3 linked regions of the Tamandua tetradactyla genome follow. The protein of the gene in region 1 interacts with the protein of each later gene in a biochemical or structural test. Links are inferred from orthologs where the notes say so. Each region holds a gene or a part of one and is shown in the gene's direction. Other genes may lie near its edges. The genes, in order: UBXN2B, PPP1R11 and PPP1R7.

The links.
Region 2: the proteins of UBXN2B (region 1) and PPP1R11 form a complex in vitro, tested with the Homo sapiens proteins (2 studies listed by BioGRID). The link is inferred for Tamandua tetradactyla from reciprocal best matches to the Homo sapiens genes UBXN2B and PPP1R11.
Region 3: the proteins of UBXN2B (region 1) and PPP1R7 form a complex in vitro, tested with the Homo sapiens proteins (2 studies listed by BioGRID). The link is inferred for Tamandua tetradactyla from reciprocal best matches to the Homo sapiens genes UBXN2B and PPP1R7.

Annotation. Positions count from the first base shown.
Region 1 is NC_135332.1:101,717,475-101,724,492, forward strand, and holds the start of UBXN2B (UBX domain-containing protein 2B), read left to right. Parts: upstream 1-4,004; 5' UTR 4,005-4,026; coding exon 4,027-4,110; intron 4,111-7,018. UniProt on the Homo sapiens protein: Adapter protein required for Golgi and endoplasmic reticulum biogenesis. Involved in Golgi and endoplasmic reticulum maintenance during interphase and in their reassembly at the end of mitosis.
Region 2 is NC_135331.1:84,560,327-84,567,313, forward strand, and holds the start of PPP1R11 (E3 ubiquitin-protein ligase PPP1R11), read left to right. Parts: upstream 1-3,953; 5' UTR 3,954-4,252; coding exon 4,253-4,321; exon of another isoform or gene 4,322-4,469; intron 4,470-5,438; coding exon 5,439-5,547; intron 5,548-5,964; coding exon 5,965-6,056; coding exon of another isoform or gene 6,057-6,167; exon of another isoform or gene 6,168-6,987. Other genes in the region: POLR1H (DNA-directed RNA polymerase I subunit RPA12), read left to right, coding at 1,907-1,931. UniProt on the Homo sapiens protein: Atypical E3 ubiquitin-protein ligase which ubiquitinates TLR2 at 'Lys-754' leading to its degradation by the proteasome.
Region 3 is NC_135329.1:79,627,187-79,634,810, forward strand, and holds the start of PPP1R7 (protein phosphatase 1 regulatory subunit 7), read left to right. Parts: upstream 1-4,620; 5' UTR 4,621-5,688; coding exon 5,689-5,740; intron 5,741-7,624. UniProt on the Homo sapiens protein: Regulatory subunit of protein phosphatase 1.

The DNA of each region.
Region 1 (7,018 bases):
CCATCATTTATATAAATTACAAGTTTACTGGCATTATTTGCAGGGAGTGAGAGTCAAAACATGAGAACAAAAACTAGATTATTCATCTGTGAATCCCCACAGTACCTAACATCTTTCTTTAAGTTGACTGATAAAAAATTGTTAAAGTTTTTAAATTTGAGAAAATTTCACATCAGTAAATGTGAATTCAGGCAGTGAAGCCCCCAGTCTTGCTGATCCAATAATCTATTGGCTGCTTCTGTTTCAGGACAGCAGCCGCTTCTCCCAGCTAGAGTAACCCACTCTTGCCTAGGCAACTGATCAATGCACACATTCCTGATAAGTCCAACTGGAATTTAGATGTATTAATTCAACCTATGTACTATGCACTTTTAAATTGAAAAATTGGTGATTAAGTGGATTTGAGAAAATAGTAAGGAATTTTTGTATAAGATTTAAACTAAAATATACTAAGCATTCAAAAATAAGTATACCCAACTGCATAACTATAATTTAAAAAAAGTATTCAGTATTCAGAACTTCTGTTACAGGCTAAGCATTGGAGATATAGAAAGAACAGAAAATAATCCTTCCTCTTGGAGGGCTTCACAGTCTAGTGATACCCAGACCATAATACACTAAAAAAAAAGTCTTCTGTGCTGATTTTAAGCTATTATGTACCCCCAGAAAAGCCATGTCCTATAATCCTCATTCAATTCCATATATCTGGATGGGATCTTTTTTATTGTTTCCATGGAGACATGACCCACCCAATTGTGGATGGGAACTTTTGATTAGTTGGTTTCCGTGGAGATGTGTCTCCACCCATCCAAGGTAGGGTCACTTACTGGGAGTCCTTTAAGAGGGAAACTTTTAGAAAAAGCTTTAGAGCCATGAGAGCCAACAGAGCCAACAGAACCAACAGAACAGACAGAGTCGCAGGGAGCTGTTGAAGAGAAAGCTAGCAGATCTTGCTATGTGCTTTTCCAGCTGAGAGAGAAACCCTGAACGTCATCGGCCTTCTTGAATCAAGGTATCTTTCCCTGGATGCCTTAGATTGGACATTTTTATAGCCTTGCTTTAATTTGGGCACTTTCACCACCTTAGAACTGTAAACTAGCAACTTAATAAATTTACCTTTTTAAAAGTTGTTCCGTTTCTGGCATATCGCATTCTGGCAGCTTGCAAACTAGAATAGCTTGTGAAAGGATTGTGTACAAAGTTTGGGTAGTTATATGGGTAAGGAGTAACCAAAATACCTGGGGAAGCTGGTAAATACCTACCAAAAAATCACACTCGAAGTAATGATCTTGAAATAATACCTCATTTCTGCTTCATTCTAGGCAAAGAAAATGGTAGAAGTATAGTATGAAAAAGCCTATGTGCAATGCAGTGAGAGCCTTGACAGGCGCAAGGTCATTTTATTTCTCTGGTCTTCAAATATTTCCGTAAAATGAAGACAATATCTAACCCAGAAAGAAGGTTGTTGTGGATTAAATGAAATAACAAATGCAACCTATGAATATTCCCAAATGGAAATATCTTATATTCTATAATCATTAAAAAGAGATTTAAATGTTTTAAAGGATGAAACAAGGCCTTCATAGTTTATCGTGGCCTCTGATCCTTGATGGCCTCAGTAATGTTTCAGCATAAGTAAAACTACCCAAACGTGGTTTTCATTTAGGCCGTGAAGTTTAATTTGGATACAGTTTATTGGTCCAAGATAGATGGGCTACACATTGTTCTGCCCGTAGCTGATAAAGATTTCTGTTAGGCTAGGCTGTTATTTCTTGACTTTCCATGAATGGAAAAAGACTTTGAAGACAGTCAAACCCAGGTTCGAACCATAGATCCACAAATAATTCATTCATTCATTTCTTCATTGAGACATTTATTAAAAGTACCTATTATACTCCACATTATCCTATGTTAAGGCACTAGAGATAAGATTCATGATATCTGTGATCTCACAGTCTAATGGAAAGAAAAAACAAGTACAGCAAAATGTGAAAATTAGGTCTCAAATTTAAGCACCCCAAGATGCAATACAAATAGCATATCAAAGTGAGTATGAGACAGACCATTCTGCAGGAATCTTCATGGCAGAATAAATTCCATGATTCTTAAAATCCTTCATCCTATAAAATAGAGAATGGAGCAAATGAAGTATCATTTGTGTTCAGATTTCTTTGTAGAAAGATGAATAGAGATACCTTCTTTTTCATCACAAGCCAAAAGTAGAGTTCAAGGGGACCACTTGAATGTTGGTTGATATTTTTGTTTCTATTAACAAGATAAAAGTGAAACAACAAAAATATGTGTAAGAACCTGATGTGACAACTTATTTCCTGAACTGACTAGGAGTTTTCAAATATTGAAAGAATGTTTCCTCTTTTTTTGCAATTTACCTTATAATAGTTACAGACACTGCACACTTTTAAGTTTCTTCTGCATTATTAGCATTTTGTCCACCATGTGCTTAAAAGTACATGCAATATATCGAGCTCTTATTTGTGGTATTTTCTAATATGTGATGTAAGTACTTCCAAATGATCTATTTCAAGCCACCAACATGATATCACTGAGCCAAAAGCTGGAAAGAGGTGTGCAAAAATGTACAATTATAGGATAAACAAAATACGGTATATTCATACACTGGAATACTATTCAGCCATGAAAAGGAATGATACGCATGGCAATATGGATGAACCTGGAAGACACAATGTCGAGTGAAGTGAGCCAGATGCAAAAGGACAAATATGTTATTTCAATGATCTGAAATAATTATAATTTGCAAATTTACAGAGTCAGAAACTAGAATACAGGCTACCAGGGGCTGGTGGGTGTAGAGAATGGGGAGTTAACCCTTAAATGAACCAGTATTTCTGTTTGGAGTGACCAGAAAATTTTGGTAATAGATGGTGGTGATGATAGCACAACACTGTGAACATGATAAACAGCACTGAATTATACAGTTGAATATGGTTCTTTAAAAAAGGGGGGAAATTTTAAGTTGCAAAAAATGTTTTGAAAAAGAGGACTGTACAGCACAGTGTGTTCTAATGTAAATTATGGATGCTAGATAATTGCCCAATTATAATAATATTCTTTCATCAATTATAACAAAGTTACCACACTAATGCGAGGTGTGGTGTTGTTGATGGGGTATATGGAAACTCTGGGTTTTCTGCATGGTTTTGGGTAAATGTACAACTTCTTTAACAAAAAAATATAGATTACATAAAAAAGTTAGTGCACAAAATTATATAATATCTCAAGAGCATAGATGATAGTAAAATGTATTAAAATAATTAGAAAGTGATGAGTTTGGGGCATTTATTACCTTTGTTTCAATATCATTTCATTGTAAGTTTATATAATTTAGTTTTTAATAATGGCGGTGTTTAACAACCGGCTTGCAAATTTCCCAAAAACTTTAATAGGCTCTCACAAGACTTCAGCTTAAAACACGGGCACACCACTGACTTCAAACACACTGAAAACGTAGCCGTCACTGCCCTGTCACTCCTCAAACTACTACAACTTGACATTTCCTCTCTACCTGAACTTGCAGTACAGCGATCTCCTACACGTGTTTTCACCTGTCTTTTCCCCGCTAGACTGAGAGTTCTATAATGACTAGCATTTTGTCTTTTTACTGGCATCCTCCGGGCATAGCAGTAGCGGCATAAAAGAGGAGTTCAAATCAAACTAAGCGAATGAAAGGCCTGACCATCTGTAGCTGTCACGGCCGCCCGGAGGTGTCCCTTTTGAGGTAAATAAGCCCGCGAGCCCAGGCTGCGCTAGAGACCAGAAGCAGTGCCTCCAAGACCTAGCGTGCAGCAGACGAAAACTCGTCCCTAGCCCACCCCTCTTAAGGAAGAAGAGGGAAAAGTCAGCGCGGGCGCCAAGCGACCCGGCAGCCGGGCGGGTGGGCGCGCCCAGGGCCTCGCGCGGCTCTGCCCTCGCTCCACCGTTGCCCGGCAACCCGCCCGGAAGTCCCCGGGAGGCGCGTCGGCGGAAGCGCCCGGGACCGGGCGGAAGATGGCGGAGGGCGGCGGCACTGAGCGCGGCGAAGGAGAGCGAAGGTCCTCAGGGCCGCGGCCCCCGAGCGCCCGGGACCTGCAGGTGCGGCGGCGGCGGCGACCGGGAGCGGGCGGGGCAGGGACGGCGGTGTGGGTCGGAAGCCGCCCCTGGCCGCGGCTGAGCAGTTCCAGACCGCGCGCCTGCGGGTTTGCCCGAGTGGTGCACAGTCCGCGGGATTCGTGGAGACAAGTGTACGGATGCCCGGGTCTCGTGCGCCTCAACCCATTCTTACCATTTGGTTAAACTCAGAAGCCACCTAATCTTGAATGGCATGTTTGTGGTGTCTGTTGAGCGGCTTCCTGTGATTTACCTCAGAAGGAAGCTTTACTGTGGCTGTAGAAGTCAGCGGGCGCTGAAACATTAAAAACGCATGCAGTGGTTTCTCCTTTCTTGTTTCAGATGTTGTTTTTTACTTGATTACTGATACATTTAAAAAAAAAAAAAAAGGTACCCTTGCATTTCTCTTTGAAAGGGCGGTGCTAAAGCGTGTCATGCTATTGCTGTACAACCTAGTTTTAAAAGTTACAGTCTAGGGTAGTTCACGGTGGCTCAGCAGGCAAAGTTCTCTTCTGCCATGCTGGAGACTCGGGTTCGATTCCCGGTGCCTGCCCATGCAAAAAAAAAAAAAAGAAGTTACAGTCTAGAATACATTGCACATAAGAAACGGAGAAATAAAACTTTATAACATTGTAGGACACAGGCATTTAGTTAGCTAAAATATGAGTTTACCACGTACTGCTTTACCAAATGCTGACACCGTTTTTCTTATTTTAAGCTTTTTTCCCATCTCCTTATAAGATCATAGATAAATCCAAATAAACATCTATAAGAAGCTGTAATTATAAATAAAGGAGATGGAATCCACTGTCTAGGTAAACAAGTTCTGTTTCTTTATAATCACACCTACTTCTCTAAGCAAGCATCTCTTGACTGTCTGGCCACATAAATAAGGAACTATTGCTTAGCTCTGGGTACTGCAAATATAAATCCACAGTCAATGTATAAAATATCTATGAATGATAGATAAAAAAATTAAAATGTACTTCTACCTTTAGGAAGCCAGATTTTTTTTGAGAAATAGGATATGATACATTTAACTTAACATTTCAAGATGGAGAGTGAGTACTAAAATAAGCAGTGCCTAAAATGAGGAATTTGGAAAATAGAGAGATCAGTTTAAGTTTAGAGAATGTTGTCCAGGAGAGGAACCAAGTGTAGAATAATCCCATTTACAGTCACCATAAGTTAATTCTGTAGTAATAAGCAGAATCAAGAAAAAGGAAGCTATTCTCTACCTCGTCTTTTCTGTTATAGACCAACATCACTAAAAAGGTAGAATGAGGTATTGGGAAGAAACGGAGTTTATGGGTCAGACTGAATTTTGGTCTTGCCGTCTAATGGTTGTGTGAAGTTAAGGAAAATATTTTAACTTTGATCCTCAGGGTCTTCATTTGTAAAGGGAGTGATATTGGTGTTGGTGTTGTAAATAATTTTAAAATGTTTGTAAAGTGCCTGTACACAGTCCCCATGTTTGATAAGTGTTTGGTTCCTTTTCCCTTAAGGGAAGAAATCAACTGTAGCTTTCACTGACTTTTTCATTCTAATGCCCTTAAAATTAGAACTGAGTAACTTAATATCCTTTTCCTCTAATTTAAATCTATTTTTTCTTTTCATGTGAAAATACATATAGCTTGTTAAATGACCACCTGATACCTGACAGATTGATTACTGACTTTAATGACTTAATCCAGTGGATGTATTCTTATATGTGTTAATTGTAAGAATGTTTTGTTTCCACCATAAATTAGGAGGTAGGGATTTTTTTGTTTCATGTCCTAACTACAGTGTGCCTTAGTAAGGAGGTAACTGGTTACTTTATGAAATGTGATTTGGTATACAGTATTTATTTGTAATCTTTCCTTTAGATTTTAATATGCCGGGAAAGAATAGGTCAAATTCACCCCTTCTTCAAGGAACAGCTAGAGAAGTGACAGAAAAACAACCAGGACAGCGACAGGATGCAAGTGACCTGACAGGGTTTTCTGTACCACATAGGGGGCCCCTGGTTGAAAAAGCTGAGGAATTGAGACTCAGAGAACCAAAGACCATCCAGCTAATGCAAAGAGCCTAATGTGCCCCTTTCGAAACTGAGGCCTGGAGCCCTCAGGAGTGCCTGACAGGGAGACGGGGACTAGGAAGTAAGCCAAGCTACGTTCCCTGAGCACACTGTTCCCATGCACGCCACCCAACCCCGCAAGCCATGCTCCCCTACCCCCTCACCGCACCCCACGCACCTGAACCCTGCTATCCCCTGAACCCACACATCCTCACCGTATGCACACATTCACCCCTGCCCCCCCACCATGCATATGCACACACTCACGCCCTGCCTATCACCTGCCCCCCAACCCACGTAGCCACTCTGCACATCTGTCATACCACCCCCAGTCCGTTGTACATGTACATCCCTGCCATGGCCCCCTCCCTCTGTGCCACGTTCATGCACTCACATGTGCCCTACCCCCAGCCTGGCAAATGCACACACCTGCACTCCAATGTCCCCACACCTGCACAACTGCACCTGCCCCCACACAAGCTGCAAAAGGATGCCCTGCCATCCCCAATGACCTGTATACTAGTGCACCGCCTCCACGTACATCCGCATTGGTACACCCCCTCCTAGGTTCTCAGGAGCAATTCGTGCCACACCCACATCCCACCTCAGATACACGTACTCCACGACCCGCACATGCCCCTTCTGACCCCCACCTACACTCCTCCCCATCATTCCATGTCCTGCACACCTGCACCCTGCTCCTGTGCACAATCACATCCACATCCCAGCCGCACCCCCCCATCATACCACTGCCCCACCCACCCTACCCCAGACCCCTGTCCCCGTGACCCACACCCCTACACCCTGACCTCTGCACCCTGATACCCACAACCC
Region 2 (6,987 bases), on another chromosome or scaffold:
CCTTCCCTCCCTCCCTTTCTTTCTTCAGTTCTCATACTTTGGGTGTAACATCTAGGAAACCGCCTCCTATTATAAGATTGATAAGATATTTCCCCAAATAAACATATTTTGCTTTAGTCTCACACATAAGTTAAAATTTTAAAATATTAATTACCGTCTATTTTCAACACCCTGCATTATTGACATTCCTTTGCTCTTCCTCATGCAAAACGGTTTTAAATTTGTACATTTAGTCACTATCATTATACACTCTAGGCATTTCTGGATTATACCATCTTAGTCTTTATTGTCTGTCTTTCCTTGTGATTTTATTTGTGCCCCCAGGGCCCCTCCCTCTATCATTCTCACATTCAGCTTCATTCAGTGTTCTGACATTATTGTGTTACACTTAGGTAGTGTGCTATTCATTTCTGAATTTTTATAATCAGTCCCATTGCACAATCTGTATCCCTTCAGTTCCAATTACCTAATATCTACCCTATTTCTATCTCCTGATGACCTCTGTTCTTAACTAAAATTATCCAAGTTCATTCATTAATGTTAGTTCATATCATTGAGACCATACAGTATTTGTCCTTTTGTTTCTGGCAAATCTAACTCAGCATAATGTTCTTAAGCTCCATCCATGTTGTTACATACTTCATAACTTTATTCTATCTTACAGCTCCATAATATTCCATCGTATCTATATACCACAGCTTGTTTAGCCACTCGTCTGTGATGGACATTTGGGCTGTTTCCATCTCTTGGCAATTGTAAATAATGCTGCTATAATGTACAAATGTCCATTTGTGTCTTTGCCCTCATATCCTCTGAGTAGATACCTCACAATGGTATTGCCAGATCATATGGCAATTCTATACTTAGCTTTCTAAGGAACCGCCACACTGCCTTCCACAGCAGTTGTAACATTTGACATTCCCACCAAAAGTATATAAGTGTGCCTCTTTCTCCACATCCTCTTCAGCACTTGTTATTTACTGTTTTATTGATAATGGCCCTAGCAGTTGTTCTGTACTGTTCCTGGCTATTTATTAGCTGTTAGGAGGAACTAAATCACACACCTCGCTAAGCTGCCATCTTGGCCTGAGGTCAGGATTTTTGAAACTTTATGCAAATGAGAATTATTTGAGGCCTGTGGTGAATACTGAATTCTCAGCATTTGTACTTGCTCTATTCAGGTGCCTTGAGCACTGCAGAGCTGGAATCACTTTAAATAAATTCTGGGCTCAGGTTTTTTCGACCACACAGGTAGTATTCATTTAAGCTGCAAAACCATTTAAGGCAGCCACTTTATGGTTAGAAATTCTCAGGGAATACATTTCTCTTCCTCTACTTACATGAAAACTATTAGATTCCCCTTCTGCAAAGTTGAATTATTTTTTTCTTCTTCACTTTTACACAGAGGGGGGTAGGCCCTCTGGGGGTGGGGGTGGAGGTCCCAAATTTATGCAAAGGATCTCTTATCAGGCATTGTAGGTTTTAGCTTTAGTTTTTTACATTCCACATGTCTCTCAAAACAGTAGCAGGTAGCAGGGGACTTCAAGTTTAACTTACCTTTCTCCATTCCTAGTTTTACATCATTTCTGACCAAGGCAAAGATTGCCTTTACTTTCTTGCTATCTCATCAATGAGATCCTGTTATGATTAGTGCTTTTTGCATTGTAGAATAAATCTTTGTAAACTTCAAGGTTATAATTCATTGTATCTGTGTGTGTGTATGGGCATAAATATTTTTTTAATCCCAGCATTTTTAGTTGTCTTCACATTGGAGGGTTGTTTAGGAGATCTAGTTCTCCACAGTGGCATAAATACAAGCCTTCTTTGATTCTTTTTGAGTATCATATCTTACACTGCCAGAAACTCTTCTTTTGTTTAATATAACAAATATTTTCTTTCTCCACAGGTTCCAGGAGAAGGAAGACTCTTGATTTTTTTTCTGAGCTACTGATCAGTGCCTCCCTGTTTTCCTTAGAAGGTGAAGAATACTGGGTCTTTAGATCCCTTGTCCAGCCTCTCTGATTGTAATGTCTTGCTTCCAGAGAGGCTATTAGATCCTCTCGTGAAGATTGCCATTGTCCTCAGAACATTCCTATCCCTAGTTGAGTTTCCTTATTAAAGTTGTATCTCTCTCTAAGAGTATGTTATTTACAATCTGCTTTGTTCCAACAGGAATTTAAGTGAGCTAACAGATAATATTTGTCCTTTCAGCAAATATATCAACTGCAAAAGATAATATAAATCAGTAGTATACGAGAAAGAAAAAGGGGAAGAAAAAGTTGGAATCAGAAATGATGCTAAATATAAAAAAAGCAATAGTTAGAGTCCTCACTTTCCAAATCTATTTGATTACTGAGTTTAGGAAAGCAAAACATGGGTGTTGGATTGTGAGAATTCAACTGAAATTTTAATCAAATCTATTTGGTAAATTAGTTTGGACAACAAAAAATTCTGATACCAAGGGATACCAGCATATACTTAACTACATGTGAACAAGAAATTACTTAAGCGGTAATTGTGTTTTTTTAATTGCTCTTGAGATAAATGTAATGCATATATTCTTTGGAATAGATTTCACACTTAAAAAGGTAAAAAGAAAAAAAGTACAAAGCAAGGGGAATACCACTCTACAGAGATACCCAAATTATATATGTACATGTGGATATATGTATATATATAAAATGGGTCATACTATATGCTGACCTGTATGTTCCTTTTTCAGTTTGAACCAAAAATTTACAAGGGAAACAGATCAGGAACAATAAGTACATTCAAATTTTAGTCTGAATCATCATTCCCGCTTTTCCTTTGCTTAAATGGTGACCCAGGGGTAAGATTAATAACTGATTATTTTGTAGCTGTGTGGCCATTATATATTCAGAACTCTAAAACATAAACCATCCTGTTTGATCCCTACAGCAACTTGGAGAGATGAGAAAGACTTTCTTGGAGAGCAGTCTTTCTCAAACTGTACACTTGAACTGTTCTGGCAGGTGACTTCCCTGACCCACTCCCACAATCTGAAATAAATCTGTGCATGTTTCATCCTACTTTTTAAGCCTCTCCCTGTCTCATAACACTTACTGAATAAAGTTCAAGTTTCTCAGCAAAGCAGACCCTTCCACATAATTACTACCTATTTTGTCAAGCCGCGTACACCTGCAAGTACAAAACCGTTTGCATTTCCTTCAGTGCACACATTTCTGGTTTTGTAAGCTTCTCTCTCTTTAAAATCCTGCCTTTCCTGTTCACTTTCTTTAAAACTTTTTTTCTTGTTCCTGAGAATGTGCATATATTTTTATTGCAGCACAAATTGCCCCATGTTGTGATTTCTGATCATTTCTCTTAGTCTTATATCCACCCCAGGGTTAGTTCAAATGATCATATGCAATTTAATTCAGTTTCACAGATATTTACTTCTTTTTTATACCCCAGTGCCTTATATTTTTTAGTTTTGAGCGCCCTGTCTTCACTAGACTGGGTACTAAAGGCAGGGTCTGCGTGTTTTGTGAAGCTGCATGAAATGCCTTGCCCGAACACCTACAGGCATTAAGCAAGGGACAAAGCAAGAGATGGCTTGATTTCTAATAAAGTGTTTTCCAGTGGACCAAGATACCGTTTCCCTAATTCTCAGGCGAAACGTTAAGGAATGGGACTAGGCCAATGTATGGCCAATTACTATTACTCCTTAGTTTTCTCCATCTCGCCCCCTACCCCAGGTTTAAAGATCGGGAGCTCAGCTACCGTACCGATCGATTCCACGAGCCTTTGGCCGCTAATAAGGCTCGGCGCACAGCCCACCAAGTTCTGAAGCGCCTGGTGGGTCGCTGCCCTCCTGGACCGCCCATTTCTGCCGTTTCTCTGTTGCGCGTGCGCATGCCGCTCTTGAATGCTTCACCACCACCACTACCAATGCCCTTCCACACACGTAGTGACGCTTCTTCCGCCAAGTTTCTGTCACATGATGGCGGAAGTAGTCTGGCAGCGCCTGCGCTCTGACGCAGCTGGTGCGGGGAAAGAAGGAACTACAGAAGTCGTCACACCCGGAAGCGGAGAACCGGAAGTGGGGTTGGACAGGTTATCCCCGGGGGTGGGGAAGTGGAGGCCCAGGAGGAGGGGAAATAAAGAAGGCAGAGGATTCTGGCTACTACTCTGAATCCGATACCGATTCTCTTTAGACCCCAGAGATTCAGAATAAGAGAAGGGTGTCTTGTACCCCTTCCATCCCTCCTCCCTCTCCTTAGCCTTAGCGATGGCTGAGGCAGGGGCCGGGCTGAGTGAGACCGTCACTGAGACAACGGTTACCGTGACAACTGAGCCCGTGAGAAAGGCGGGGAGTGGGGGGAGCGGTGCTGATTAGGGGTCTGGGAGATAATCGGGAAGGAGGGAATAGGTGTCGGAGAGTTGCTCCAGGGGCTGGCCCTGGGGATATGGGATGAGTGGGATTGAAGGACTGGAGTTGGGAGAATCGCAAGGTATTGGGTATATTTGAAGTGACAGTGCAGGAGGTTAATCAAGGGACACGTAATAAGGGGTTAGAGTTAGAATATAGGTGACGCTGCTTTGGAGGGACGGTAGTGTATAAGTATAAAGGAATAGGAAATGGAGGGTTAAAGCAAGGGAGGTGCTGGGGATGGGGGTTGGGTTAGGGCTGGGTGGAGTCTAAGAAACTCTGGATGGAGGCCAGTTGTGGGGGAATTTGACCTGAAGCATACTTATCAAATATTTGTTGAGTGAATGAATGTAAAAGGAAGTGGAAGAAATGAGGGAACAGAGAAAAGGAGATGATAATATTTTGAGAAGTTGGGTAGGAGAGATAGATATAAGATGGACAAACAAGTAGTATTTTTGCAAAAGCAGAGATTAAGGTGCTCTCAAAGAAAGAAGGTGGCATTGGGCACAATAAACTCTAGATTAATAAGAGTTTATAATTATCAGAGATGCCAGAATTTCAGGAAATAAATTGATAGGAAATGGGGAGTGCTGGACTTGAGAATGGGAGGTGAGAATGGAGGTCTTTACTTAAAGCGGAGAAGAATAAAAGGTCTGGAAAAAGAAAGGGAGATCAAAGATGAGGCATTGAAGACTAAAAAATTTTTTTCGTGTATTAATACCACCAAGAATGATTTGGGGAGGAAGACGGAAAGACAGCGAGGATTATATTTTCGTTTGAAGATTTGCTGGGACCTTCCCTAGGTTAGGAATTGTCTTCTCTGTACACTAGCTGTTATCAAGAACAGGAAATAGTGCTTTACTAATCCTCAGGGAACTCCCTGATGCCAGAGACCTGTTCTATTTTATTTTCTCCCAGCATTCGCCTTTTCTGGTATATGACTCTAGTACCAGAATGAACTGGGGAAGGGAGGCCCCTGGGAGGGTGTGGGAAAAATCAGTGGGAGTAGAATAGATAGGTAAGCCCATCCCTCTTAACTTTCTAGGAGAACCGAAGCCTAACCATCAAACTTCGGAAACGGAAGCCAGAGAAAAAGGTGGAATGGTCAAGCGACACTGTGGACAATGAGCATATGGGGCGCCGCTCATCAAAATGTGAGTAACTGTTGGCCCTCAATAACCCTGGGATCCTGGCTCCTCTCTGCAAATCTGCCTTCTCACATCCACTGGCTTCCCTGAGGCCCCCAGATGGTCACCATCCAGCCACTTTCTTGGTGGTTCTCTGACATCAAGGAGAGAAGGTTAAAATTAGAGGAAAAGAGATAGGGAGGAAGCTAGCAAAGGGATGTGCCAAGACCTGAAGGCAAGAAATGTCAGATGTGGGAGAAATAGGGCTTTGGAAAAGGAGAGTCCAGGGTAAGGGATTGGGTGGCTGAGTTCCAGGGAGCCTGGGGAAGCTGGATCCTGAAATGTAGGAAGAGGCGGTGGTATAAGTAGGAATTTTCAGAGATCCAGTGGGAATGGAGCAGACATGGTGCATTTTACTTTTCTCCCTTCCACTTCCAAATTTAGGCTGCTGTATTTACGAGAAACCTCGGGCCTTTGGCGAGAGCTCCACAGAGAGCGATGAGGAGGAAGAGGAGGGCTGTGGTCATGCACACTGTGTCCGTGGCCACCGCAAAGGACGGCGTCGTGCAACTCTGGGACTGACCCCTACCACCCCTCCCCAGCCTCCTGACCCGTCCCAGCCCCCTCCAGGACCAATGCAGCACTAAATTCCTTTCTTCCCCACTATTCCTGTGTCTGTCTGGCCCTGAATGTATTCATGTGGCTACTTGGGGATTAAACCCATGGTTTGATCTCTTCTCCAGTCCCCTCTTTCCCTCTCCTCTGCCTGATAGAAGATAGAAAGGGGGGTGGACAGAAAACCTGGAATTCTTCTTGCTGCTATACCAGAACCCAGGTTTCTGGGTTCCTTTGGCTCTCATTTCTCCTCCCAATATCCATCTTTCCCTCTTAAGAGATCTAGACATCTTGGTCCCATTCCCTTCCCTTCGTTCTCACTGCCAAACTACCTGTCCTGGGATCCAGTTATCTCAGCCCCTTGCATTGTCTACTTGAGTCCCAAATATTAGGTTTCTAACAGCCCCGGCTTTCACTGCCAGAGTCCCAGTCAGATTCCAGGCAATCTTGCTCCAGCTGTGCTTTAATGCTGTTTAGAGCTCTTCCACTAATTTTTTTTTTCTTTTTTTACATAATCCTGATTCTTATTCCTGTGGGCTGTGAGAACTTTGGAAGACCTCAAGGCTCCTAGCCCTTCGTCTCCTTCCCTGCCCACTCCCCTCATGCACTAGGAAGGAGTTAGGAGAGGTCTTTGTCATCCTCACCTCTAATGGAAAATGGAGCAGGAAATAGTCATGTCCTCTCTCCACACCCTTCTTCTGTGATCTAGATTTCTGACAAAGTTGTCTTTGAACACTGGTCAATTAGAGTCAACTGTCTCCGAAGGCTTTGGTCTTTTAGCTTCTGAGACAGATCCTATATAGTCCTAGGGGTATGAGTCCCCAGGGGGTGGAAGGAAAATAGAGGGAGCAA
Region 3 (7,624 bases), on another chromosome or scaffold:
TTACAGTGATAGAACCATCCTCTGTCTTCATTGTGGTTGTAGTGATATGGGTGGACCCATTTCTCAAAACTCACTGCACTCTATACTTAATACGGTACATTTTGTTGCGAGCAAATTATGCCTCAATAAAACTGATTTTTTAAAAATAGAATTATCAGTGAATGGTTAAAACTGACAATTAGTCATAGCTGAAGAGAAAATTTGTGAACTGGAAGATTTTTTTGAATAGATAATCCAGAATAAAACACAGAGAAACAAGGAGAAAAAAATATGTCAGGGAGAAGTTAACAGACAGTCTAAGACGATCTAATAAACACCTAATTGGAGAGAAAAATGGAGAGGAGAAACCATTTGAAGAGAGAAGAATGAACACTTTTCAATAATAATACAGGAAAAAAACGCACAGATTTCAGACCACTATAAATGAACAATGAGGATGGAGAAGGAGGTGGGCCTGAGCCCACCAGACAGGAAAACTCAACATAAAGCTGTAGTTACTCCGTTGGCAAGACTGAGCAGGAATAAACCAGTACATCACAGAAATAAATGGGAAGCCCAGCAACACACTCTTGCCTCTATGAACACTTATTTATCATGACTGGGGAAGCACTACATATCACTGAAGGAACACAGGCTGTTCCGTTGATGATATTGTGACAACTTTTTATCCAAATGGAAGCTGGGAAAGCAGATCTATTAACACACCCGAAGCAGAACCAAAGCCCAGAGCCTAATAAAAGATTTAATCTGTGAAATTCAAAATACTAAACTTTTAGAAGACAATAAAATAAGTCATCTTTAAGACTTTGGAGTAGGGAAAAAAATTCTTAAACAAGACACAAAAAGCTCTGTGATTGATAAATTAACCATATTAAAATTAAGAATGTCTGTTCTACCATAAAGAAAATGAAATGACAAGCCACAATTTGAGAAAGGATATTCACCATATATATAATCAACAGACGATTAAGTCCAGAATATTTTTTAAGTAAATAAATAAGATTTTTAAAAAACTTAAGTGACACATAGTCCAACAGAAAAATGGGCAAAGGCTAGGGACAAGAGTTCACAGAAGAGGAAAACTAGTGGTCAATAACCCTAGGAGAAGAGGCTGAACTTCATTAGCATAACCAGGGCAACTTATACCCACTAAATCAGCAAAAATCAACAAATCTATTAATACCAAATGTTGAAGGATGTGGATCAACAGGAGCTCTAATTAACTGATAAAAGCTCTTTGGAAAACAATTTTAGTTAAATCTTGGCCTACTCTGACCCAGCATTTTCCACTCCTAGATTTCCATCCTAGAGAAATTCTTTCATGAATGTAGCAAGACACACACACAAGAATGTTCAAAGAAGCATGACTCACAACAGCAAAAAGGGAACCAATGGAAAAACAGATGTAAAATTCTGGTATATTCACACCATGAATTATAACAGTGGAAATAAATTACCCACAATGTGGATAAATGTTAGCAATAGAACGAAAAAAAAAAGTCAAGTCACAAAAGACTATCAACAATAGGATTCCCTTTTTATAAAATCCAAAAGCCCATCTAAAATATATTATTTAGCCATATCTACATATGTGATGAAACTGTCTTAAACAAGAGACTGATAAACACTGACTTGAGACAGTTGGTTTCCTCGGAGAGGTGAAGCAGGGAGGGGGCACTGGGGCACAGGGGCTTCCAGTTCTCTACGTAAGTAGTGGATTCAAATGGGCGCACTTTATTGTAATGAATGTGACTGATGTTACATTTATTCTTTCATATGACTTGATTAGCACATACTAAAAATTACATTAAATACACACACACATCCAGCTTGGATCCTGGAAAACGATAGCTGTGTATGAACCAAAAGATATGTAGGGAGCTAGAAATAATTGAATAATAAACTATCTTTGCTTCAAGTAGCAACACTTAAATCTCACAGGTTTATATTTTCTTCTCTAAGCATCTAACTGACAAATTATTTCTATAATAGATAGCAATGGCATGATCGTAGAAGTAGCTTTTTACTTCTAGAACCAATCTATAGACAAAACACAGAAGACATCATTACAGATTCAGAGTGCATGGTACACCTTTCAAACCTTCACTGTGTAAAAACAGTTAACCTAACTCTTCAGAAAACATTGTATATGTAAAGTAAAGCTTTACTCTGTAAAAATTATAACTCCTCAGAATACATGGAAAATCTTACAAAGCTTTATGTATAAAAATGATAATATAACCTTTCAGAATACATTGTAAATCTTTTCAAATTTTACTTTGTAAAAATAAAAATATAACAAAAATAGGAGAAGAGGGAAGGTGAAGAAAGGGTAAGTGCATGCATTTTTTTGTCTTTCACAGAGGACATCAATAAACTGTCAAAGTTGATAAATCAAGAAGTGGAAGTTTAATTATATTCCTGAAAGTTACAGTGTTACTATGGTAAACAGGGAGGAAAGCTGTAACTAACACTGATATGGGGGGGGGGGGGCAGTAAGGGAGAAGACTGCACCACAATGTCCCTCTCAGAGCAGTCCTTGGCTTCATGCCACCTTAGGGGGTCCTTGGGTTTTCTGAAATGGTTAACTCCAGTGCTAACCAGAAACACATATAAGTCTACACCTCCCATTTTTAGAAGATTTTTGTATCAGCTCCTGAAGGTGCCTCAGGATAAACCTATGCCCATAGCTAGTTCTGATTCCTGAAGAAGCAAGTAAACCTAATTTAGACCAAATAAAAACAAGGAGAAGTTTGCAGGGCACTTCTGGGAAAGTCCTCCTTGCTCTTCCAGGGAAACTTCTGGAAGCAATTTCCTCTCTCCTACTAGAACCTAAGGTAGGAAGCACATAATTCCAGGTGCTCCCACCACTGCTGAGCAACCAAGAGCAGAACCTTGGGATGGGGCCAACATGGTGAGCACAGAACAGAGAAAGGCCAGGATTCTAGTCCTGGAAAATTCTGAGCCACTGGCTCAAGCACCCTAAGACCCACTAGTATCATTCCTCACTCCTCATAGCCATCCTGCATCTGTGCTTCTGTTTTCTTGGATCAAAGCATCCTAATAACACAGAGAAGGATAGCTGCCACGATGGGAAATGTCAGCAAAGGCTTCCTGGGGGAGGTACTCACTGGCAGAACCGAGCCAAGCAGAGTGCAGTGAAAAAGCCTTAAAGCCTTCCAAGTAGAGGAACCAGTACAGCAATGACTTTCCTACCACCCCTGGGGAGGAATCAGGACACAGAAAAGAAGGTTAAGACTGGCCTGGAGAAACCAGCATGCTCCAAGCTCTTTCTGTGCCAGCTCCAGCAGTCTGGATTTTATCCTGAAGACTGGGGACAAGGAGACAGGTCACATCCATCAGGGTAAGAGAATAGGCGATCCTACACTAACAAGGACAGAAAGATGGAGAGAGAAGGAAACCAATTAAGTGGAAACTGAGCTGGATTTTGAGGAGAATGGAAAGTAAGGGAAAGAAAGGAGTCAAGACTATTTCTAAGATTCCAGTTGCGGTGACTCCAATTCTCTGGGAAAAGAAAAACTGGCGAAGAAGAAACATGAGACAGCAGGAATAAACCTTGAAGACTTCACATGGAGGGAAAAAAGGCTAACACACAAAGACAAATACTGTATGAGCTCACTGATGTGTAATAATTAGAAAAAGCACAATCAGACTCAGAAACTAGAATGCAGGTTACCAGGGGTCGCGGTGGGAGAGCTAATGCTTTATTGTTCAGAGTTTCTATCTGGGGTGATGGTAGCATAATGTTGTGAACGTAATTATATATTCTAATGTGGTTAAAAAGGGAAATTTTAGGTTAAATATGTTGTAGAATTTTTTTAAAAAAAGCACACACACAGGACTGTACAACACAGCGAATCCTAATGAAAATTATTGAGTATCGTTAATACTACAATTATAATATTGTTTCATCAATTGTAACAAAGGTGCCACGTCAATGCAAGGCATTAATAAAAGTGGGGCATATGGGCACTCTGTGTTTTCTGAATGATTTTTCTGTTATCTACAGCTTCTTAAATTTACAGAAAGGTAAGGATAAAGTCCGGAAGGAGAGGGGAGCACCCCAGTGGCCGCGGCGGGAAGCAGCGGGCATGCGCACTCCAGCTCATTCATTCATCCCACGCGCAGTTGGTAACAAAGCCCCTGAGTGCCAAGCACCGTCCTGGATGCTGGAAAGCAGCTGGGACGAAGACGAGGTCTCAAGTGCTCGAGCTTAGCTTCTAGCTGCAGGACAGGCAGTGAGGAAATAAAGCAGATAAACCAAACTAAAGCGAGGTGAACCGAGCTCTCCTGGACCGCCCCATCCGGCCAGGTCGGGAGCTGGAAAGGCCCCGAAGTGGCACCGCACGGTCAAACCACGGTACGGCCTCCCGGGCACTAGGGAGGAGCCGGCCCGAGGGCCACAGGCGCAGGGCGTCGACGTTTAGGTGCCCCTCGCCCGAGGATCGGCGAGGGGCGCGCGGCGGCGGCGCAGGACGACAGCGGACCCTCGCAGGCCCGCGCCCCTCAGCCCAGGCCCGCCAGACCCCGAGAGGCCGCGGAGCAGGACCCGTTCTCCCGAGCGCACGTTCCTCACCTGGGGCCTGCGAGAGTCGCCGCTACAGAGCTCGCAATACCCCGCAGGGTGGGAGCGGACCCTCGCTTCCAGCCGCATGGGCCAATCGCATAGAGACTCGCGCCGAGTGACCGGTTCCGCCGGCCAACCACTGGAACCAGTGGGCCGGACTCCGCAGGCCCAAGGCTTGAAGCCCGCGCTTAACGGTTGCTAGGGACGCACCGGACGTGCTCTACGGCAGTGCGAAGGAGCCAAAAGAGACATAAAGCCGCGGACAGTCCGGGTCCTGGACGTTTTCTTCAGCATTCCTGATCGAGAAGCGTGATCGACTCGGGGTCGACTCTTGGCGGCCCAGTCCGAAGGACTCGCCACGCGGGGCAGCCCCTTCGTGAGCGGGGAGGGCGACGGACCGTCTGCCGCTCACGCTTTTTCAACCCCCCCAAACTGGAGGCTCGGAGCGGCAGACGGAAACTGCGGCGCCGTTAGGAATGGCCCGCCTGCCGTCCCGTCCTGCTGCCCACCTGTCCTGCTACCCCCTGTCCAGCTGCCCCACGAAGCGCGTTCACAAGAGGCGTGGTTTAATCCGCGCGATAATGCCAGGAGTAAGTTGCACTCGTCCACTGGGTCCATTCTACAAACGCGGCCAGTGAGGCTGTGAGATGCTGGGACGCACTTCGCCATCCCGAAGATTCGCGCGGCCGCAGTCCTTTACGCCTCTACAGTCGGGATAATGAAAGACATGACCCCACAAGCCAGGGCATTTTCCCGATTCTCCTCCAGCCTGCCTCGACGCCCTTGCCATTTGCCCGCAGCTACGGCTCCGCGCGCCCGCCTCGACTCCACCTCCTCTCTTTGCCAGCCTCTTGCTGGTCTTGGCTCTGCTTCCAGAGGTTACCTGCCCCGGAGAGGTGCAACAGGCGGCGCCGGAGGGTAAGAAGGGGCGCAACGTCGCGGGCGAACTACAACTTCCATGAGGCGCTGCTTCTGCGCAGGCGCGTCTGGTGCAAGCCTTTGCGCGGCGAGTCCATTGGTTGCGTAGCCTCGGCGATGGGAGTCCTGATTGGCTGGGGGATCTGAGGCGACTAATTCCGGAAAGGGGACGAGCAGCCAACATGGCGTCGGAACGCGGCGCAGGGCAGCAACAGTCGCAGGAGATGATGGAAGGTGAGTTGCTCCTGCGGGGTGGCGGCTGAAGAGCCCCAGCCGGTGGGGGTAGCAGCGGGTCGGCATTGCCCTTTCCCCGAGAGAAACTCGGCGTCCTACCTCCGGCGGCGGCCTGGGCCCTGCCGCGGCCTCCTGACCTCTGCCGGCTGGGGCTCGGCTGAGCGGGGCAGGCTCCAGAGACGGTATAGCCCGGGCCGGGGGTCTACAGCGGCTGGGCAGTTTCGGGAGGCTCCGAAGGCTCCGGACAGACCCGAAGGGAAGGGAGGGCGACGGCGAGAGTCCATGGCTGGTGGGTGGGGATTCTAGGGAACGTGGGGGCTCCCGAAGCTCCGCTGCGTTTCTGGTCCAGTTGGAGACATCCTCAGAACCTCGGAAATTGACATGCGGACAGCGATTGGCGATTTGCTGATGAAGGAACTGAGGCCCCGGGCGCTGTGTAACCTCTTAGAGTTTGCTTATTTTGTTAATGTGGCCGGGGCGGAGAAAGGTCCTCTCTTAAGAGCGAAGGGATTGTGGAAAAGGAATGACAATGAGGCGAGGAGTCAAAAGATTAAGTTATAAAAATTGCCGAGAAACCGTTATAGAAACAGCTATAGAAGTCTGTTTCCAGGGTTTTCGTGGGTCCGGAAAGAAGGCTAAATTCAACTTTCCTCCTCCACTTTCATTTTTCTAAAAATAAAAAAGTATGCACGTATACATATTACCAGTTGGTGAGCCAGCTAGGCTTTTGAATGCTTTTGTGCTTTTGGTTCTGCTGGTTTAGTGAGACAATCACTACACCCCACCCCCGGTGATACATGCTAGGGAGGAAGAAAGCAGAGCTAGGGAGTGGGCGTGGGGGAAAGGGAGCCAGGACTTGCTTGCCCGTGGGATGGTGAAGGGTGCACAGCCAAGGTCAGTTTGAACCTGGACTGTGAAGGATAACTACAAGTCAACCGATTGGGTATAGGGAGAAAAAAGGATCATTTCAGACCAAGGAAACTACACAAAGGAAAAGGAACAAAAGAACACGGACTATTTGGAGCAAAATTTGACCAGGATAACAGTCGTTGGATGAGGATGAGCCATGGCCCATGAGGCTGGTGAGAGGCCCTCATGGGGGACTTCAGGAGGACATGATAAGAGTGGTGGATTTTGATACCATGGAATTTTTTTAAGCACTGAACAGGCTGAGGAGTTGGGAAGGAGGGAGAATATGAGCGTAGTATGAACTCCTCATATTCTCCCTCCTTCCCAACTCCTCGGCCTGTTCCTGCTCTCTCTTCTACCATTGTATGGCTTGGTAAATGGCAATGCCAATTCCCTTCTTGCCCAAATAAAAGAAACAGGCTTTTCTCTCTCTCCCACTCCAACCCATGTTCAAAAAGTCAACCAGTTCTGATTCCTCTACCTCTTCAGTAGCTCCAAATCTCCAATACTTCTTCCACCTCCACTGCCAACCCCTTAGTTCAGGTCTTTGCCAAGCTAGATTTCATTGCCCCAGTTTGCCAACCCTTTTTCACAGTATCCCAAAGTCCTTTTCTTATGTCCTGATTCAGCTTTCTCATGCTTCAGACCCTGTCTGCTGCTCTCAGGGTAGAGGAACAGATTTCACTCCACCTGCCTTCTTAACCTCTCAGCACTCCTCCCATCTGGTCCTGGGCTCAGCTACACCAGAACATCACCCAGTAGACAATGCTCATCCTCAGTTCTGGGCTGGACTACGCTTAACTAATCTCCTCCGCTTGTCCTTCAATTCCCACCTCAGACTTTAGCTCCTTTGAGAAGCCTTTCTTAACTCCCTCACCTCAGTCTGGGATAGAACTTCTCTTAGGCCTTACCCCCAGTATCCCAGCACTGACTACCTGGACTGGATGGAAATCATCTCTTATGTAAGATCCTTGA